2 linked regions of the Drosophila melanogaster genome follow. The protein of the gene in region 1 interacts with the protein of each later gene in a pairwise test. Each region holds a gene or a part of one and is shown on either strand. Other genes may lie near its edges.

Region 1 (3,754 bases):
TTAAAGAACTCGGGAGACTTAGCACTCTAATTATGGCAATCTCTAAAGGTTTTTTGAATCTTAAACACTTCATAAAAGATCAGTATCAGATTTTTTGATCTTAGAGTATTGAAGGCATAATTTGCTTACCCTGAATTAAAATTTCATTATAAAAGATGAGCCAACGAAGCATCAAAGACCGATTAATAGTTTCTCAATTCCAGTTAATTATAATTCAAAAATCACTTTTCAATGTACCATCAGAGAACATTTCCTATTGTTACAAGGATCACAACACATCCCGGCCAGCTGAGTTCGTTACAGGATTTTGGCGCCAAATACCCGTGGCATGGAATAATCAGTTCCAAGACGAAATCAGTTCCTTGTGGTACGTGTCACAGTCGGCAGATGTGGGAATAGATGATGATCGGGGGGTGCGACTCTCCTTGCAAGACGCTCGACGAGGGGTTGGCTAGAAAGTAACGTCCAAAACTGCAATTCCACCACCATCACCGGCTTTATTCCGACGAAGGTTGTCTGGTGATGCCGTGGATTTTGGGGTGGGACCACTGCGCCAGGTAGATTTGCACGAACCTCTCTCTTTTGGCGCATTCCAAGGCACTCAGCTCCGTTCGGAAAAATAAAGCCAGGTAACTGTCCGGGCACATGCCCATTTTGGGGTGGATTGGAGGTCGCTGGCAGATGGCGGGATTCTTTAATATCGGGAATTGAAATTTCATGGCCGTTAGGGGGTTATTTCTGCCGAGTGCACCGATACACGAGGAGGCGGAGAACCGGAACAATACTCTGGGAAAGGTTGATTTACCTTAGATCTGCGCGCTGTTTGTCCTGGTGATTAATATTTTTGTGGACGTCTAAGTGGGTACATTGCATTGTAGCTTGGCTCGATTTAATGGCGGAGCCAATGTCACGTGCTGATCCTACTCAGCTGCCAGCCGGAGAGGATCGCTCCGATAAGGATCAATTGGAATCCTAAGTGCTTCTTTTCTTCTGTAACAGCGTGCGATTTTATACAACAAATGAAAAGCTTTGAAAGAGAAAATAGAACAACTTTCCTGTACCTTTATTGTAATATCTTCTATCTTAATGATTTTAATTGAGAACGTTTTAATTATTATGGTATTTAAATATTTGGGCATAATTTCCTAAGTCGAGCCCCTGAAAAATCTTCACACTCTCCGATCAGCAAAGTCAGCCGAATATGTGATCGTTTAAGCTCAGCTCAGAAAAATTTGAATAGTAAACATAATAAGAAGCTTAAGAAAACACAGCTGAATTATCCTCCGAATAGCACAGAAAGCTATCTCTTAAGTTCGTGGGACGACTGACAGTTGGAACAAGAGCGCCCCAAAGAGCGAAGAGAGTTGAAAATTGTGGGGTACGAAACTTCTCTTGGTGGGGCTCCAAAGAGCATGCTCACCTGCTCACGAAGAGCAAACGTCCATTAGGCTTATATACAAAGCGATCGTGTGAGGCGGACCCGAAAGAGGCTTATAAATAAACTTGATCGGGTATATAGCAATAGCAAGCTCGCCACCAGCTGCCGCTCACTCATACCATTGAAATTCAGGGGAAATACGAGCTGAACCAGAGAGGCAGCTGGTGGCGATCGGCGAGTGGAACGGAGAGAGTCCCTGTGGCACGTGCTCGCTTTTTACACACAGATTTGTTCCTCTCGTCTCCAGGTCCCTCCCTCTCTCAACGATTCTCTATATGGCAGTGGTACCCCCGGACTGCCCGATCTGCAGCTGTATCTGCGTTCAATGAACGCACAGCTGTGGCTCGATCGCTGAATGGATCTTTTGGCTCGTGGTTCGGGGTGGATTTACAGAATCCCGGGCGACATCGGAAGTAGGTAGACGCCAAGATCCTTTTTGCCCAGGGGGTTGATCATCCTGCCAGGGGGTTGATCGGGAGTCTATAAAACCGGACTGATCCTTGCCGGGTTGCATCATTCGAGCAAGGAACTCCAAGCGATCGAGACGCGTGTGGCGAAAGCAAATGAGTGAGCAGTGATTTAAGTTCAAGGATCGGTATTAAATACAAAATCGAAGATCAGTGATCAGTAACCATAAGGAATAATAACATAGCAACCATGGATAAACTCAAGTACAGCCGCTGCCCGCTCAAGAAGCGTCCGATAATGGTGGAGGAGTCCAGCCCAGAGGATCACCTAAGTCATGGTAGGTTTAAGGCTACGGAAGTGATTTACAGGCATATTTTAACTTTATGCTGATTTCAACAGATGAAGGACCAGTGGACTTGAGTGTGGCCTCGGCTGCAGTGCCTATGGAGCCCCATTGGATGGCTAAATCCGAACCGGAACCTCAGCCGGTGCCCACGGAATTGAGGCGCCGCTTCGATGCAGCCATGAATCAGACCAAGGAGCAGTTGGCCCGTCGCATTTGGGAGGAAACCCGTGAGATAGCCCGCGCTTTTCCGGATGTCTTCACCCGGGAGGAAATCGCCAAGAGTCTTGCTCGCCTGGGTTACGGCGAGTTCGAGTTGCCACCTGAGGAGGAAGTAATGGAGCCGGAGCCGGAACCAGAACAGCATCTGCCTCTTCGATATACAAGAGATGCTAGCCCAACCATCATCAAGGCTGAACCCTCTGATGAGGAACAATTTCCCCTGCGAAACTACAATAACAACCTACTCAAAAGCATAGCCGAGTATGAGGACTGTATGAAAATGCAGAACATCAAAGAGGAGATACCTCCGATTCCATCACCCCAGTTGTTCTATCCACCCCCGACTCCACTGGCCGAACCGGAGGACCTATCCGTAACCCAGAGGAGAGTGCTGAGCGAAAACATGAATCTGCAGAATGTGGCCAGAGCTTTGCTGAGCATGCAACACATGGCTCCGCAACATGCGCCGCCTCCGATAGACATGGAAGAGGATCAGGAGAATCAGGACATCAACCAGCTGAAGATCAAGAGCAGCAATGATCTGTACTACCAGTGCCAGCAGTGCAACAAGTGCTATGCCACCTATGCAGGATTGGTAAAGCATCAACAAACGCACGCCTACGAAAGCACCGAGTACAAGATCATTAGAAGCCAGCCTGGAGGATCAGGTGCGATAGTCGACCAAACCGAGTTTTGCACGGATCAAGCTTCGGCTTTGATTCAGGCAGCTAATGTAGCCTCAGCACAGAGCATGCAAAAGCCAGTGGGAGTGCCGCGATACCATTGCCAGGATTGCGGAAAGAGCTACTCCACCTACTCGGGACTCTCTAAGCACCAGCAGTTCCATTGTCCGTCGGCCGAGGGCAATCAGGTGAAGAAGGTCTTCAGCTGCAAGAACTGCGACAAGACCTATGTGTCCTTGGGCGCCCTGAAGATGCACATTCGCACGCATACCCTGCCCTGCAAGTGTCCCATCTGCGGCAAGGCGTTTTCGCGACCATGGCTCCTCCAGGGTCACATACGCACCCACACGGGAGAGAAGCCCTTCAGTTGCCAACACTGCAATCGGGCCTTCGCGGATAGGTCAAATCTCCGCGCGCACATGCAAACCCATTCGGATGTGAAGAAGTACTCGTGCCCCACCTGCACCAAGTCCTTCTCGCGTATGTCCCTGCTGGCCAAGCACCTGCAAAGCGGTTGCCAGACTGAGCAGAGTGGAGGTCCCAGTGGGTCAGGAGGGGGCTTTGATCAGCAGCAGCTACAGCAGCACCTCCAGGTCTACGAGGAGGGACACAATCCACACCAACTCTACTACGCCGGCAGTGTGGGCAGCAGTAATGGTG
Region 2 (3,754 bases), on another chromosome or scaffold:
AGATGCATGGGGGTTAACCATTGAACTCATGTCTTGAGTGCATCCTGCAGCTTTCGCCGCGCAACTCCGACCCGATCCTCCTGTTTGCGTATGTCGTCCTCCGAAATGATCACCGCGTGCATTAGCGGTTGTTCAGGATTCATAAACGCCATGGCATTCTTGGTCAAATCAGCCTTCGTAGAACTCTGGCCGTGTACGCCGGCGTTGAGCATATGCAGGGCCGTGGCCACCGACTGGAGGACGGTCTGTTCGTTGACATTGGGGCCAACGGTGCGTATGGTCTTGGGCAGTGAGATGTCGTCTAGCTCCTCGCCACTGTCGTGGCAGGCGCGTAGTCGTTCCAGTCGCTTCTCCCAGAACAGCTGTTTCGGCTTCTCCCGAGTGCCATGCTTGGGTTCATTCTTCGCTTTGGCGGGATCCTGTTTATGGTTGCGAATCACCGTCACCGGTTGCTTGAAGATCGAGGCAGTCTGTCGAATGGGAGGCACCAGGGAGACATCAGTGCGCAGGGCTCGGCTGTAAGGGATTAAAGATTGGAAATGTATTAGAGAAACGCCTTCAAAAAGCTAAAACACCGAACAGCACATTAGACAAAGCGTAAAGTAAAGCTTTAGCATGCAGAGATGGTGGAACATAAATCTCAGGTGGCACAGAGCTACAGCGTTTTTGAAGACAACTACGAATTGTTTTGCCAATTGTGTGTTTCTTTGGGTATTTTTTCATTTGATGCTTTTTAATTGCCGCAGGCTGTAGACCTTGCGTCCTGGCAAACAAGACATGACACGCTGACATGCAAGAGTCAAGTGCTCATCCACTTGGCTCTACCTGAGTTCGATCTGTTGCTGCTGGCGATTGGCCGTTGATGGTGAAGCAGATGCTGCTGTCGCTGTTGCTGCTGACGAGGCGGTCGCTGCCGGAGGAGCAGCTCCTGCTGCTCCTGCAGCATTGCCTCCTTGACTCCGGGCGAACTTGCGCTTGAGGGCATTGGCCGCCGATCCGCTGGTGGCCCCATTACCGCCCCCGCTTGCTATAGGCAGCGGCATGGCGCTGCAGCGGTACAGCGAAATGGAGGGCGAGGGCAGGGCGCAGTGCGGCATTTTGCCAGGCTGGAAATCAGGGATTGCAATGTCCTGTGGCTTTCCCTCCGCCCTTTTTCCTGTGGGACTGCTGAACAGACACGGCGGTGGATGGATATTTTTGGTGGGTTAGGTGGTAGTTCGTGTGCGTGTGTATACATAGGCGTATGCGTGTGTGTGGTGTATATGGTGTGTGTGTGTGTGGTTATGCGGATGTAATAACAGAAAGGTAGTGAAAGTGATTATAAACGTTTATCCGATTAAACAGCGTGCAGTGTTCCGATTTTAGGTATATAGTAGTCTATATAGTAATTCTGCTCTTCTTCTTTACCTGTAGTAGAAAACATCCACCTTGTTATTGTTGTTGTTGCTGCTGGCTGTGGCACTGCTGTTGTTGTTGCTGCTGGCGTTGTTATTGGCGCTGCTGCCGGACTTTCGGACCTCGTCGCGCTGCCATCCCTTTGGCAGGACACTGCAGTCGACGCGTTTGCGCTCGATTGTGACGCTCGGGTTCATTTGCATGCTCGCCGAAATAAATAATTAACAATTCCACAAAAGCAGCGTCTGGGCTAGCAGTGTGGCCGTACTGCGGATGGCCACAAATGCCGGATGGCACAATAGTGATGCTAGATTACATTCTCCAATATATTTATGATTTGAATTTAAAGGTACCAATGGGAAAATGAAAATAATTTAAAAGGTATTTATTTAAAAACAGAAACCTTAAGATGTTACACCTTGCACATTTTTCATTTCCTTTAAGCTTAATTCGCTAGTTAATCAGCAGTAGACCAATCTCACCTGGCCACACTGCCCAACACCTGATGTGAACATTTCACAGCACTGGTGGGCCAACTAATAAGAAAAAGAAGCAGCAGAAAAGGCGACGTAAGAAATTCCGGAGTTTTCATTCGCATTTTCCAGTCTACGAAACGGAATATGTAAATCCAGCCCATTGATAGACCTAGCCCACTCATCGCCACCTCGCGACAGTTGCCAACTTCCACGCGCAACGCCTGCCGCGAGCAGTAGAACCATCGAAGCGACCTCCCACTCGATCCAATTGGGAATTTTACACCTGGGACAAGTGGCAGCTGCTGGGAACCAAGAGACATGTCTTCGTCGGCCATTTTCGTTCTGGACGTGAAGGGCAAGGTGCTGATATCGCGGAACTACCGCGGTGACAACATCGACATGGCCGTGATCGACAAATTCATGCCATTGCTGATGGAGCGCGAGGAGGAGGGCCTAATCACTCCGATCCTTCAGACGGCGGAGACTACATTTGCCTACATCAAAACGAACAATCTTTATATCGTATCCACGACGCCGCGCAATAAGAACGTTAATATCGCTCTGGTCTTCGTCTTTCTGCACAAGATCGCGCAGGTCTTTGTGGAATACTTCAAGGAGCTGGAGGAGGAGTCCATTCGGGACAATTTCGTGATCATCTACGAGCTGCTGGATGAATTGCTCGACTTTGGCTACCCGCAGACCACCGACTCGAAAATTCTACAGGAATACATTACGCAGGAGGGTCATAAGCTGGAGCTACAGCCCCGCATCCCGGTGGCCGTGACCAATGCAGTATCCTGGCGGTCCGAGGGCATTAAGTATCGCAAGAACGAGGTGTTCCTGGACGTTATCGAGTCGGTGAATCTTCTCGCAAACGCCAATGGCAATGTGCTGCGCAGCGAGATCGTGGGCGCCATTAAGATGCGCGTCTACTTGTCGGGAATGCCAGAGCTGCGACTGGGTCTCAACGACAAGGTTCTGTTCGAGAGCACGGGCCGCGGCAAGTCAAAGTCCGTAGAGCTGGAGGACGTCAAGTTCCACCAGTGCGTGCGGTTGTCACGCTTCGAGAATGACCGGACAATCTCGTTCATTCCTCCGGACGGCGAGTTCGAACTGATGTCCTATCGTCTGAACACGCATGTGAGTATTTTTATGTACTTAGCACCAAAATGCAAGACTAACTAAACCCCTGTTGACAGGTCAAACCCCTGATTTGGATCGAATCAGTGATCGAGCGGCATGCCCACTCCCGTGTGGAGTACATGATTAAGGCGAAGTCTCAGTTCAAGCGAAGATCGACGGCCAACAACGTGGAAATCGTCATACCAGTGCCCGCCGACGCGGACTCACCCAAGTTCAAGACCACCATTGGAAGCTGCAAGTACGCACCGGAGCAGAACGCAATCATCTGGACGATCAAATCGTTCCCGGGTGGCAAGGAGTATCTAATGCGGGCACATTTCGGTCTGCCGAGCGTGGAAAGCGAGGACAATACGGAGGGCAAGCCGCCAATTCAGGTGCGCTTCGAGATTCCCTACTTTACCACGTCGGGCATCCAGGTGCGCTATCTGAAGATCATCGAGAAGAGCGGCTATCAGGCGCTGCCATGGGTGCGGTACATCACGCAGAACGGCGACTATCAGCTACGCACCAATTGAAAGGGGCAACTCCCGTTCCTGCATCATTCCAGCCAAGCTTCAGCGAGTCATCCTGCAACAGGTAGCTTCATCTCCACCCGCGTTTTTGTCTGCGATGCGTTGCGTTAAGTCAAAAGTATATATTTGTATTCGTATTGTTTCAGTATATGTATATTGTATGTAAATCAAATTTAATAAATTTTAACACCTTTTCATAACACCTGCACCAGAGTGGGTCACTTTGTA

The links. Proteins that work in one complex are often made in the same cells at the same time.
Region 2: the proteins of wor (region 1) and AP-1mu interact in a two-hybrid assay, tested with the Drosophila melanogaster proteins (one large-scale study listed by BioGRID).

What each region holds. Positions count from the first base shown.
Region 1 is NT_033779.5:15,423,772-15,427,525, reverse strand, and holds the start of wor (worniu), read left to right. Parts: upstream 1-1,945; 5' UTR 1,946-2,095; coding exon 2,096-2,183; intron 2,184-2,245; coding exon 2,246-3,754.
Region 2 is NT_033777.3:9,557,685-9,561,438, reverse strand, and holds AP-1mu (adaptor protein complex 1, mu subunit), read left to right. Parts: upstream 1-1,913; 5' UTR 1,914-2,189; coding exon 2,190-3,011; intron 3,012-3,070; coding exon 3,071-3,529; 3' UTR 3,530-3,727; downstream 3,728-3,754. Other genes in the region: MBD-like (Methyl-CpG binding domain protein-like), read right to left, coding at 27-516, 826-1,167, 1,408-1,598.